3 linked regions of the Rattus norvegicus genome follow. The main gene of each other region encodes a partner of the protein of the gene in region 2 in a complex. Links are inferred from orthologs where the notes say so. Each region holds a gene or a part of one and is shown on either strand. Other genes may lie near its edges.

Region 1 (4,537 bases), on a different chromosome or scaffold from region 2:
GAGAAAGGTGAAGGCGCCTGCTAAATGTGGGACTCCTGCAAAGCCCCGCAGCAAAGCCAGGATTCAAACCCCCTCTTTTCTGTCTGGGTCAGCTAAGCCTTTTGAACTGCACTGCTTCCCTCCCACACTCTATTCCAGACATAAGGATCTTAACCGCTGATAATTCCCGTGCTCTGATTTTACAAAGACGAGTGGGTGAGTGATTTTTTTTTTGTCTGAAACGTATTATTTCAAATTTAAGCAAATGAAATTTAAGCTATGGAAACTCAAAAAGCACCACTCAGGGTTTCCCTGGAGAAATCAGCGGCCCTCAGCTTCCTGTGCCTTGCTTAGTTTTCCACCTGGCTCTAAGAAGGGGAAGGAGCTAGATGGGGGTACAGCGAGCTGAGTTCATGCTCCATCACCAGCCTTCTTTCCCTTCCTGTAGCAGAGGTTGTTTGTCTGATTAAACTAAGGCTTGACTCCTGTCCAGATTAAACTCTCCATGTCTATGTCCAGTCTCTTACACCAGTTATCTCCTTAACACCTCCCCCACCGCCCCTTTCCAGTTTTCAACTCGGGCAGGTGCCCTCTACCCAGTCTCCACTCAATCCTCTTCAGTTTCTTCCCAGGGGACACATGGCCCTGCTCTGCAGATGTTATTTCACCTTCTTCTTGCAGCCAGGACGACCAGACTCGTTCCTCTAACTTTCCTCTATCAGAGGGCCACTTCTGAGAACTTTGCGAGGAACGTAAAGACTGTAAAAGTGGAGCGAGCCAACAGTGAAGTCTCTCTCCACCGGCTCCGGCTGGGCTGCCAGGCCCTCTGCAGTTCCACTCTAGGACTCCGAACTCCAGCTTCCTCGCGTTGGGATGGAGCCCCAGAAGACTGGAGGCGCTGCAGATGGGCCACCCGGCACCGGGCTTGCCCTCGGGTCCCCGGATTTCTGCTTTGTCCCTGCTGGGGTGTGAGCAAGTCCGGGCGTCCTGCAGGCGAGCAGCCCGGCTCGCAGGGAAGCTATAGACAGGTCCACCCAAGGATCCAGGCTCTTCTCGCCGGCCTGCCCACGCCGGGCCTCCGCTCCCCTCCTTCCCGGCTCCCGCCTCCTCCCGAAGGCTGCGGGGCGGCCCGGGGCCTGCCTCTCCCCGCGCCTTCACTACCGGGTCAAGCCGCGGAGGGAGGGAAACCGCGGCGAAGCCCTCCCTGGCGCTCCACCCGGTGCGCGCGCCTCCTCCCTCCGCTCGCATCCCCTATCCCCCCCCCCACCCGAACCCCCCTCTGCCGCCCGCTTACATCCTGCCAGTACAGTACAACTAGTACACAGGCTCACACGCGCACACGCGCACACACACGCGTTCCCTACCGCTGCCACTGCAGCTGCCATGGATATCGGCTAACAACACAGAGGCCGGCGAGCGCGCGCGCGCTCCCCACTCGCAGCACGCAGGAGTGGCCCCCGGCATCCCTACCCTCCTCCCCACCCCCACGCCACCCGCTCACCAGCTCGGCCACTGCTCGCGCTGGCTCGGCCGCCGCCACCGCCGCTAACGCCGCCAACGCCACCACAGCTTCCTCCGCTGCGGGGCCAAAGCCTTGAGTGTCATTCAAGGGACAGCACAACCTCACCCAAGCTCTCCTACCTCTGCCCAGCCGTCCCTCTCATCCTCCCCCTTCCTCCGCCACACTCCATCCAAAGAAGAGGGAAAGCGCGGAGCAGAGGGAGAGAAAGGCAAAGTCTGCCACCCTCTTCCCTTGGCCCCCTTGCTCCTCCATCCCGATTTTGACTCCCAGACCCTCCTTCCCAACGGACCCTCAGGAACTGAGGAGACTCACCCTACTGCCATGTCCAAAAGCTTGAAAAAGAAAAGCCACTGGACTAGCAAAGTCCACGAGAGTGTCATTGGCAGAAACCCGGAGGGCCAGCTGGGCTTTGAACTGAAGGGGGGCGCCGAAAACGGACAGTTCCCCTACCTGGGGGAGGTGAAGCCGGGCAAGGTGGCCTATGAAAGCGGCAGCAAGTTGGTGTCCGAGGAGCTGCTGCTGGAGGTGAACGAGACCCCCGTGGCGGGGCTCACCATCAGGGATGTTCTGGCCGTGATCAAACACTGCAAGGACCCCCTCCGGCTCAAGTGTGTCAAGCAAGGTGAGCGCAGCTTGCTCGGTGCTCTGCCGGGTGGTGGGACCCCGGCGTGGGGAGGGCATCAATAGGGTGGGCGCGGGGGTTGGATGGGTGAATGCTGCGCCACCGCGGGGTGGGGTCCAGAGAGCATCCTAACTGTGTTCGGAGCAATAGTGGGACGGGGGCAGGGGGACTGGTAGGCTGGCTGAGCCAGGTGGCAGTGTAGCAGGCAACTTAGTTTGCCTAGTTGGACCCTCCCCTTTGGAAGATGCTTGGCCTTGTCCGACCTCCTCTGAGCTCCAGGGCCAAATAGAATGTGCGTCAGTGGCATGCCCACAGTGGACATAGAGCTTTCGGGGAAGGAAAAAAAGCCAGGGGTGAGGAAGAAAGGAAGATGGAGCAACTTGAGGTGCAGAGGTGTCACTAGGGAGGTTGGGAAAAGCTCTGAATATTGGGGCAAGTGGAGAATGCTTGCAGTATATCCAAAAGTAGTCTGGAGACACCTTGGTCAGTAGCGGTTCCCTAGGGACCCCTGAGCCACTGGCTGACAAGGAAGGAAATGAATAAATTGGTTTGGACGCTCTGACCAGTGTTCAGTAACTTTTTCCCTGCTTCACTCCTTTCTCCCCCGCCCATGGTCTTGTCATGTGGGCACCGGGAGTCACGTGCAGACTGACTAACCCTAGAGATCCCTCTGGCCAGCAGGCAGGAGGAGGGGCAGAGATTAATGCTAGGAGCTGGGAGAGCTAGTTTGTAGTGTTGGTGGGGAGGCAGACTGCAGCAATCAAGCGTTCCCCCGAAGTGCTCTTCATTGACTGGGATTTTCTTCTTGACTAGGATTTCTCTGTGGTTGGGCTCTCCTCTAGCTTCAGACCCGGGGGCATGTTTGTAGCACGGAGGTGGATGGAGAGGCAAGTTGGTCACAGCTCAGGCTCCCTGTGTATAACTTGGCTTTGATGAGCTTCTTTCAGGGCTGGGAAGTGAATTTAGAGAGATTGGAATCTTGCTGAACAATGAATGTCTTGGCTTGAAATAAAAATTGTGGCCCTGAGGGAGGAAAGCCTGAGATAAAAGTTTCATTAGAAGAGACTTTATTTTACAAATGTAGCATGTCTTTGTGTTCCTCTGGTGGTAATGCAGTTTCCTGGGTGGCACAGGTGGAGAGGACAGATGTGTCTCACTCATACCAGCGTTATTGGTATGACAGTTTGTTGTCTATTGTTACTCTGTCTTGCGCCAGTGTTGAAATTCTGAGTATCACTGTATTCTGAATTGCTATTCATGCTGCGATCCATTATGAAGAAATACCACAGAGCAGTTGTGGATTTTTTTTCCAGCATAAAACAAAACAAAACAAAACAAAACAAAAACTTTCGAAGTAAACGACCTAGAAGAAAGGTTGATAAACTTCCCCAAAGCTAAGCTGTCACGGAGGAAAACATCTTCAGTGGAATTTCTGGAGTGTTCATCCTCTATCATTTTAGATCATCTAACGCAAACGTGCGGTATTGTGTGACACCGAAGAAGATGGGTCAGATATTAGAGTAACCTCCAGTTGTGACATACTTTGAACTCACATTCAGAAAGTTGTGCTCATGCATTTTATGTTAACAGAGTGGATCATAGCAAATAACAAATGCAGAGTTCAAGGTTAGAGGCCAAGAAATCTACCACAATTGACCATCGACCGTTATTTGGTGGCAAAAATACTGGTATTTGCAAAGGAAAGCAACGGCAAAAGTTAATGTTTATACTTATTTGTTTATGGGTTGATGGTTTATGGATGGATGAATGGATGGATGGGATGGAGGGTGGATATGCCCATTGTGTGATATGGAAATGAGAAAACAGCCCTTGCCAATCAGTTCTCCTCTAATGTTCTGGGGGTCAGAGATGGGAAATTAGCCTTGGTGAGAAGCTTTTCCTGAGATGAGCCTCACCAGCCCAAGTTAACACACTTCCACAGTGATTTTTTTCCTTGTGGTTTCCACTGACCATTTTATTTCTGCATTTTACTCTGATGTCTACATCTTGAGATAGACTTTGCCCAACTCTAACACTCGTAAACGATAAATGTTTATTAGTATTAATGTAATTAATGATTAAAAGAAAATATCTGGTACTAGCCACTTAGCAATTGACATCCAGAGAGACAATGAAAGAGTGAAGGCACAAAAGTTGTGCACATAGGGAATCTTAGATAAGAAATGGGATTTTTTTTTTGCCTATTCTGTGATAAATGATAAAACTAGGGCGAATTTGGCAAGTCTTTCCCTTGGGGAAGCAGAATCTTTAGCAGAGCAGAGCTGTGAGCAATGTTGTAAGATGAGGTTTCCCTTATTCTGGATCTTGGCAAAGAAGCAGAAAGATCCACAGAGGTCCATCTCCATCCAGCCTTGATTTTAGCTAAAGTTGGTCCTGATCAATTAGCTTCTTGC
Region 2 (4,723 bases):
GGCTCTGTATCCAAATGTTCCATGCATTTTTATGGAAAACCAACTGTGATCTTTTGTCTCTCCCATTTACCCCCCAAGAACCCCAACAAGTCTCAGCCCAAGGAAGCAGCTGAAGGAGACCAGGGATACAATGTGGAAGCTCACAGGCTTCTGATCTTAAAGTCAGGAGCAGCAAATGCAAGTGGTCCCTTCTTCCTCAGGAGCCATTGCCACCCTCTCAGCCCGCTCCCTGCACCCCTCCCCTCCACTGAGCTGCTGCTACGGTTGCCAGGCATGGTTGCTAAGTCTCTGCATGGAAGGGTTGGCGTGGGCTGTGCTGCCACTAACATTACCATGGTGAATCAGGGGACACCTGGTACAGGCTTAGGGGGAGGGATGCTGAGGGTGCAAGCAGCACCCCACCCCAAGAATAGGGTGAGCCCAAAAGGTGAGCTGCATATCAGGGCAGTCAAATGAACTAGGCATGGCGACAGTCGTGAGTGGAAGCCCCAATTTAGGAGAGAAAGGCCACTTTTATCTTTTCTGTTGCTAGGGGATTTGGCTGTGTCACAAGAGCACACTAGTCCATCCGCCTCTGTTAGGGTACAAGTGTATATAAGCACTCTATCTGCACTCCACATAAGGCTTGGTAGAGCTGTGTGGGCACAGAACTGTGTAACCCTAGAATCCTGGCTTCTGGGTTAGGGGAGCTAGCCTGCTGCTCATGGAAGGCTCTGTGGGTGTCCAAGGACACCCATATCTAGAGTGGGAGTTGCCCTGCTGCTTGATACCAGGATAGACTGAGTTCTGCCTCAGCAGAGAAAGCTGAGGAGTACAGGTGCACCTTTCTGAGATCTTGGGGGAGCAGCTGTCCCCCAAAGTCGCACAAAAGCTTCCCGAAAGCGGTGCCTCTTCTCTGCACTGCTTAGGAACTGGTTACTCATCTCAGCTGCACCCGAATGCCACCGAAACTAAAAATAGCCCGCTCCCCCCAGCTGTGGGCCGGTCTCTCTTGCACCCCAACCCCATGGAAAGCAGCAGCGAGTGGCAGGCATAGACCTTGAGTTCTGTTCTCACCACTCCCTGTCAAGAGAAAGGAGTCCAGGCGAGCAGGCAGGCAGGCAGTCAGAGATAGAGCACTGGTGGTTAGGCAACCTGACAAACAGGAAAGCAAAGGGTTAAAACTTCGGGAAGGATGAAGAAATGGGGGCTGGGGGAGAGGGCATCGAAAGCTTGGCAAGAATCCGAAGTCTCTCCCCACCCACTCGCGGGTCCCATTAGGCTTGGGGGACCTGAGCAGTGAGTGGGAAGGGGCGTCCAATCCCAGGCCCCAGGGGGCGGCCGTGCACATGGGGGGAGGAAGCAGCGCGGAGCCGTCCACGGCGGCGTGTCACATGCGCGCGCGCTCGCGCGCTCGCACACACACTCACACACACACAGACAGGCACACACGTGTGCCCGGGTATATATAGTTGCCAGTCCCTGGGCCTGCCGCTCTGCAGTGGGCGCCGGCTCCCTGGGTTGGGAGGGGGCTCACGGGGCGGGTGGGAGGGTGGGGGGCCGGGGTGGGGTGGGGCAGGATGCTGGATGGCCCGTTATTCTCCGAGGGGCCCGACAGCCCCCGGGAGCTCCAGGATGAGGAGTCCGGCAGCTGCCTCTGGGTGCAGAAGTCCAAGCTGTTGGTGATTGAAGTGAAGACTATTTCCTGTCATTATAGCCGTCGCGCTGCTTCTCGACAGTCCATGGACATCCAGGCCAGCTACTGGGCCCGTGGGCCCCAGAACCGCACGTGAGTGAAGGAGGGGTGAGGGGCAGCAAGTGGTGGGGCGGGAAGTGGGGTCCAGACCTCCCCCCCGCTGGCACCAGCGATTGCTGCTGGCCCCTTCTCTTTCCCGCGTCTCCCTCCCCCACTCGTCGAGGACTGGGGCCTGACTCATTGAGCGCTGTTTGGGGGGACAGGAGTGGTGCTAGTGGCAGGCGGTGAGATGGGGCAGTCGCTGTTAAAGTGTGCACGGAGAGATGGTGAGGAGTCTCATTTCGACTTCAGCCCTAACACATACGCACGTGCACTCGCTCAGACACTCACACGAACCCTCCCACATGGCTGCCCCAAGTGGTCTCCAGTGCTCCCAGCTCCCCGGACCTCGGCTCCTTGTCCCCGCAAACTGCTCACCTGGGTTCCTGCTCATTGTCCCAGGTGTAGGCTGCGCCCCGGATCCCCTGAGCCGCCACCCCGCCGACCCTGGGCCTCCAGGGTGCTGCAGGAGGCGACCAACTGGCGGGCAGGGCCCCCCGCCGAGGTCCGAGCCCGAGAACAGGAGAAAAGAAAGGCGGCGTCGCAGGAGCGGGAGGCCAAGGAGACCGAGAGAAAAAGGCGCAAGGCTGGCGGGGCCCGACGGAGTCCCCTAGGTCAGCCCCGCCCAGAGCTCCGGAACGCCCTTCGGGCGGCCCAACCTACAGGGTTTCCAGTTTTCTCCAGACCAGAGCGCTTCGGGCAGGTGGGGCGAGCGCCCCGACCATCCGCGCTCCCGCAGGGTGACCCAGGGGTTGCATGGGCGGGGCCATGGGGAGGCAGAAGGCCAGGGCCTCCTAGCTACGAGGCTCACCTGCTGCTGAGAGGCGCTGCAGGCACAGCCCCAAGACGCCGCTGGGACCGGCCGCCACCCTACGTGGCTCCACCTTCTTATGAAGGTCCCCACAGGACCCTGGGGACTAAGCGAGGCCCGGAGCTCTCCCGGGCGCCCACCTCATCAGCCCCAGTGCCAGCTACCACCAGGACAGAGGGAGGGCGCACGAAGAAGAGGCTGGATCCTCGAATCTACCGGGATGTTCTAGGAGCTTGGGGTCTCAGACAGGGACGGGGACTCTTAGGAGGAGCTCCAGGCTGTGCAGCAGCCAGAGCTAGGCCAGAGTCTTGCAAAGGGGCTGTAGAGAAAAGTTCAGGCCTAGCTGCTGCTGGCCTAAACAGTGGTGGTGATGGTCATTCCCAAGCCAAAACTACTGGTCCAGTCACGGAGGTCGCTCTCTCTGGGTCCACGATCAGTAGCCCACCACGTCCTGTTCCCAGGTCTAGGCAGCACCTCAGGGGATCAAGGAAAGGGAAAGAAGGAAGTGAGGAGATGTGGCTTCCCACGTGTTGGCTTTCCTCCCCTAAAAAGCCTCCAGTTAGGCATAGCCAGACCCTCCCCAGACCCTGGGCTCCTGGAGGCACCGGGTGGAAAGAGTCCCTGGGTCAAAGAGAGGGGACAGAGCATGAGACCCTGGAAGTCTGGAAGGTGACCCGCCGTGCCCACACCCTGCCCCGCAGTTCCCGAGGTCCCGCTGGTAGAGAAGGCATCTTTGTCATTGATGCCACATGCGTGGTGATAAAGTCCCAGTACGTTCCAACCCCTCGAACCCAGCAGAGGCAGCTCGCGCCCTCTGGGGAGTCATGCATCGTGAGCGACAGCCTCAGGCAACCCAAACCCTGCCTTGAGGAGGAGGGCAAAGGGGCCGCTGCCAACCCTTCAGTTTGCCAAAAGCGACTGTTGAGCAGTCGAGTCTTAAACCCACCGAGTGAGGGTCGCGAGTTCGAGGCTGAGGGCAGACAGCAGGGGGATTCTTCATTGGAGGAGCGCTCCTCCAGCGGTTTGGGGTTCCCTGTCGGCGAAGTGAACCCGCGAGATGCCCCCACGCATCCAGGTAGCCCAGAGCACTCGACCTTAGGCCCAGCGGCTCCGGGATGCGCGGGCAGCGTGAAGGGCCCAGAAGCAGCTGGGGTCCCGCGGCGCGCGGGCGGGGGCTGGGCGCGGACTCCAGGGCCCTACGCCGGAGCCTTGCGGGAAGCCGTGTCCCGCATCCGCCGCCACACCGCCCCAGATTCGGACTCAGACGAAGCCGAGGATCTCAGCGCCCATAGTGGCTCCTCTGATGGAAGCGACACAGACGCCCCAGGCGCCTCCTGGCGGAATGAGAGGACCCTGCCTGCGGTTGGGAACACCCGGCCCAGGGAAGGCGGGAAGACAGCAGAGCTGGGCGACAGTATCGGGGAGATTCTAGATGTCATCAGTCAAACCGAGGAAGGCCTCGTCCGAGAGGACACCAGGAAAACGCCACAGGGAAAGAGAGAGTGAGAGTGAGCGACGCCCCTCCTTGTCCTCGTGTCGCTCGGCCCAGCCAGCCTTGGGCTCACCGCGCTCCTTTCCTCTCTCCAGGCTTCGTTTGCTTCCTTTTCTTCTTTCCTACCTGTACCTGTTCCCTTGAGACAGAGGAGAGGGGAGGAACGAGGGAACTGACTCAAGAGTCAGTTTCAGGGAAAGAGAGGGTGGGATCCCACACCTGCTACATTCGGTGTGGAACTGTTCAGAGAGGCAAAGTGAAGGGCAGGGCAGGGTCCCTGGCAGGAGAGGAAAAGTAACGGAGAGGCTTTTGAACCTAGTGACCTAGTGCAGGAGACAGAGGGCTTTTAGCAGAGAAGAAATGAATGCAGAATGCATACACTCAACCAGCAAATTGGCAAGAGGGCTCTCCTAGATGTTACAACTCAAGTTTCAATTCCAACTCTGCCACTGACTTAGCTGGTGGATCTCAGAGTGACTACTTTTCTGCCCGGGCATCAGGGACTAATGTAAATGTAAAACGAGCGATTTCTGCCTCCCATTCTTTTGTCCCTAGAATTTTGTGAACGAGCGAGTAGAATTTGAGGGTTCTTACCCACTTCTGCCATCCTCAGTTCGGAAGACAGTCAGGGTTTTCAGATTTAAAC
Region 3 (3,945 bases), on a different chromosome or scaffold from region 2:
GATCTCCAAGTTTCCAGACCAAACCGGCTATATAGTGGAGAATGACTTTGCACTCCTGGTCTTTACGCCTCTTCCCCCTAAATGCCGGGGTCATAGTTGAATTGCTGCTACACCCTCTTACTCTCACCGCCCTTCCCCCTCCCCCCCTCCCCCTCATCATTTAAGCCTCAATCCATTCTGACCTGGCTGCCTCAACTCCACCGAAAGGCTCCACCACACATCGCTGTTATCCCCTTCCCATGCCTTTGCCTGGTACATTTCTAACGCCCCCGTGGCTCCCTCCCGCTGAACCCAAGCTTTGCGGCAGCGGGGGAGGGGGCGGCCCTTGTCTGTTGTCAACACTGACCCCTCCAGCGGCTACATTTGCCATATCAACGGAGAGCTTAGATGAATTAATCCATTCATACTCAATTAGCCCAGCCAGGATCTGGATTCATTTTAGTAGGCGCTAAATATCTGTTGAGTGAAATCCACCACAAAACAAAACCCTAGCCCAGGGACCTAGCACATTCTACCTTTGTCAGGATCTACCAACCCCATAAAGACCCAGCCATCCACAGTCAGGAACTACGGCAGGAATCCCCCGCTTTCTGGTTCCCCATAAGGGCACTGTGCTCCTTACCCTGGCCCAGTGGTTTGCCCTCGGGTCCTGGTTCCTCCAGCCGGAATCTTTCCCGGGCGCCATCGGTGCCGAGGCTCAGCTCACAAAGAGTGGGGCTCAGCTCTGTGTCTTCAAACTCCAGAGGGGTCAGAAAGGCATCTCCAGCCAGGAGGGGGTCAGCGATGAGAGGGGAACAGGGAGGGGACGGGGAGGAGAGAGATGAGCGTGGAGACAGGGAGGTCATGGATCTTGGAGTGCCGGATAGGGAGCGCAGGGCCTGCAGGCGGCTGCCTCCCTCTGCCTTCTGAGTCTTGGCCACCTCATCCTCGTGGATGGTGGTGATGCAGCCTGAGGGCCGGAAGCCTGTGGCACCCTCCAGGAACAGCAGTTCTACTTTGCTCGGGAGCTCTGAGTCCAGCTGCTCGAACGGGTCGTAATAGAGGTCAGTGAAGCTGGCTGAGGTGGAGGAGTCCAGGCTAGAGGCAGCCAGGGAGCCCCGGCTGGACGTAAGTGACCCAGGGCTACTGCCTGAAGACAGTGATTGCATACTGCTGGAGAGGCTGGGGACAGGGAAAGGGAAAAGGTAACATGGAGTAAGGAGAACACTGGGGACTCCACCGGGCTTGGGAGTCATGAACATCATCTTCCCAGCCCACTTGACAGCCTAAGCTGGACCATGCACCCAGTTTCACTGAGGAGAAAATAGAGATCTAGAGAGAGCTGGGGGCCCAGAGTAGCAGAGCAGGTACCCGTGAGCCTCTTGCTTAGTAGCTCAGGCTAGCCTTAAACTCCTGATGCTCTGAGTCCTGAGATCATACACCTGGAAACCCCACACCCGGATCCCACTTTTCTCCTCTTCTATCTTTGTTTCTTATTGGCCACACTGCATCTTTATTAAAACATTTCTTTTGCTTGTTTCCTTGGATCGGTTGACTGAGATAGGATCTGACTGTGCCGCTCTGGCAGGCCTAAGACTTGATATGTAGACCAGGATGGTCTTGAACTCACAGAGATAAGGCCTGCCTCTGCCTCCTGAGTGCCCCTGGGATTAAAGACATCTGCCACACTTAGTACCTTTCTTGAAATCGACTCCCATTTTTTTCTTTTTCTTTCCTTTTTTTTGGAGGTGGGGGTAGGGGGCACATACAGACCTGAGGCTGGCCTTGAACTTCCAGTCTCCCCGATTCTCCTCCCACCTGCTAAATGCTGGGATTACAAGTGCACCCCTTCACACTCTGCTCTAGTCACTTTTTTTTTCCCAAAATTTTTTGTTTTGTTTTTTTGTTATAGGGCCTCTCTCTGTGTAGTTCTGGCTGTCCTGGAACTTGCTATGTGGACCAGGCTGGCCTCAGAGAGCAGCCTGCCTCTACCTCCCAAGTGCTGGGATTAAAGATATGGGATACCAATACCATACTAGAATGTAATTCACTTTTTAAAAAAAATGATAAAATATTTAACTTAAAAGGAGATCTAACATCATAAATGACCATCGAAAGGTTATTTATTGGTATAAACAGGAAGAAACCACTTTTGTTGGGGATGAGAGGCGGGGTGCTTTTAATGCTACTATGAAGTTCCAGTCATATACTTCAACCATCAAGGCCTGAGCTTACGGAAAAACCTACTACATGCTGTAAACGTGGGCTAGAAGGCAGACCCAACGGGCATCTCCCAGGGGCTGTCTCTGTTTGTAGAGTCCCACGGGATGAAGCACCCTGTGGCCGGCCACCCTAGCCAAGCCTGTATCAGCTAGAATGACAACCTTCTATGCTTCTAAATGTCTTTCCTCAAGCCACGGAGGAATGGCTTGTATGGAACTTGTACGAATGGCAGTGTGGAACTGGGCCTTCCCCACGGGGATGGTCACCGCCCACCACTCACCTTTTCAACTGAGAGTGCAGGGCGGCCACCTGCCGCGTGGCTTCCTCCAGTTCTCGCACCAGCTGGTTCCTCTTGCTGTTTAACTTCAACCTGAGGGAGAGGAGGTAAGACAATCAGCTCCAAAGGGATGCAATGCTCCAGCTCCTCCTGCGATCTCCGGAAAAGAGAATAAGGCCCAGGCCCTTAAAGGCACCAGGCCAAGGGTGCAGGCACAGGAACTGGGTAGAAACGTACCACAGTGCTGTGGAGAGGCAGAAGCTCTTTATACACAAATTCTATAGTAAGTGTGCAGCCACCTGCGACACCTTAGAGACTAAGCTAGGAACCGAACACATGGCACCGATGTAGGATGTATTGATATGTGCCTGGGGAGAATGATTTTAACAGCTTTACAAAATGAGAAAATTTGAGGCTCTTAGTTACATAGTTTACTCAAAACTATGGAATTAGTGGAAGAATTAGGATTCCACCAAACTACCATTCTTTCCTTCTCCTGCTTCAGCTGCTACCCCCTCCCTTCCCTCCCTCCTTCCTTTCACCAACTAATGTTTACCCAGGTGACACTGGATGCTGTTTCCAGCACCAGGGACAGAGCGGCGAGGGACAGAACTCATTGCTTCTCTTACAGAACATGGAGGGTGGAAGACAACAGGCGTCTAATTAGAGCGCGGTGCTAACGAGGTCCGAAAACAAACAAACAAACAAACGAACAAACAAACAAAACGAAAAAAATCAAAAGCAGAGAAAGGAATCCCTAATTGAGAATGAGAAAATGGCTTCATGATCGTATTTCTGGCACCTACCCTTGGTTGTGTCTTCCTGGGTTCCCAGGATCAAAGCTAGATCACTTTCCCGGGCTCCCTAACATCTGGCTGAGGCACGTGAGCAAGCTCTGGCCAATGGGATATAAGCAGAAACCGTGTGTATCAGACTGAAGTGGTCAAGGAAAGTGTTCCTCAGTCTCTGTGGCCTTAAAGGGGAGGTGGGCAAGCTGTGGCCTCTTCAACAACAAGGGAGGCCGCCTAAGATATTGTATGGGTAAGAAATAAACTTCAAGAGAGCTTATCCACAGAGGTTTGGGGCTGTTGCTTACAGCAATTGGATCAAACTAATAAGAGAAATCGAAGTGGCTCACTAGACAGAAAGGAGTCGGGAAGGAAGGGTTCTCTTTTCCTAGATGAAGAGGCTGAGATCATTCACTCTGCCGGGGGGTCTGGATGATAAATTTCCACGTCAAGGTGACTCACTGCTCCTCTCTGTCACCCTGCTGGAGAAGCAACTGAATGACCCTCGCTCCCTGGACTCAGGAAGGGACCAAGAACTCAGCCAGCCCAGCCTGTGGCCAGAGGGCAAGGGCTGGTTTACACACACACACACACACACACACACACACACACACACACACACTCACTCAAACCAAACCACGCCATCTCTCTACCATAACAGCCAGACCTCTAGCATAG

The links.
Region 1: the proteins of Ddn (region 2) and Magi2 are in contact, whole or in part, in a crystal structure (PDB 6KKG), measured with the Mus musculus proteins. The link is inferred for Rattus norvegicus from reciprocal best matches to the Homo sapiens genes DDN and MAGI2. Residues at the interface, in NP_001013763.1 of Mus musculus: Asp222, Arg223, Pro224, Pro225, Pro226, Tyr227, Val228, Ala229, Pro230, Pro231, Ser232, Tyr233, His237, Arg238, Thr239, Leu240, Gly241; in NP_001164217.1 of Mus musculus: Glu308, Met309, Ala310, Tyr311, Thr312, Glu313, Gly315, Tyr318, Ile320, Asp321, His322, Lys325, Thr326, Thr327, Ser328, Trp329, Asp358, Tyr361, Tyr364, Val366, Asp367, His368, Arg371, Arg372, Thr373, Gln374, Phe375.
Region 3: the proteins of Ddn (region 2) and Wwc1 are in contact, whole or in part, in a crystal structure (PDB 6J69), measured with the Mus musculus proteins. The link is inferred for Rattus norvegicus from reciprocal best matches to the Homo sapiens genes DDN and WWC1. Residues at the interface, in NP_001013763.1 of Mus musculus: Tyr227, Val228, Ala229, Pro230, Pro231, Ser232, Tyr233, His237, Arg238, Thr239; in NP_740749.1 of Mus musculus: Glu13, Glu14, Ala15, Arg16, Asp17, Tyr23, Ile25, Asp26, His27, Arg30, Thr31, Thr32, Ser33, Trp34.

Annotation. Positions count from the first base shown.
Region 1 is NC_086022.1:16,759,286-16,763,822, reverse strand, and holds the start of Magi2 (membrane-associated guanylate kinase, WW and PDZ domain-containing protein 2), read left to right. Parts: upstream 1-1,687; 5' UTR 1,688-1,822; coding exon 1,823-2,123; intron 2,124-4,537. Other genes in the region: uncharacterized protein 4921504A21Rikl, read right to left, coding at 648-1,227. UniProt on the Homo sapiens protein: Seems to act as a scaffold molecule at synaptic junctions by assembling neurotransmitter receptors and cell adhesion proteins. Plays a role in nerve growth factor (NGF)-induced recruitment of RAPGEF2 to late endosomes and neurite outgrowth.
Region 2 is NC_086025.1:131,833,103-131,837,825, reverse strand, and holds the start of Ddn (dendrin), read left to right. Parts: upstream 1-1,573; 5' UTR 1,574-1,721; coding exon 1,722-1,768; intron 1,769-2,176; coding exon 2,177-4,091; 3' UTR 4,092-4,723. UniProt on the Homo sapiens protein: Promotes apoptosis of kidney glomerular podocytes. Podocytes are highly specialized cells essential to the ultrafiltration of blood, resulting in the extraction of urine and the retention of protein.
Region 3 is NC_086028.1:20,839,794-20,843,738, forward strand, and holds part of Wwc1 (protein KIBRA), read right to left. Parts: intron 2,573-3,945; coding exon 2,483-2,572; intron 1,162-2,482; coding exon 623-1,161; intron 1-622. UniProt on the Homo sapiens protein: Regulator of the Hippo signaling pathway, also known as the Salvador-Warts-Hippo (SWH) pathway.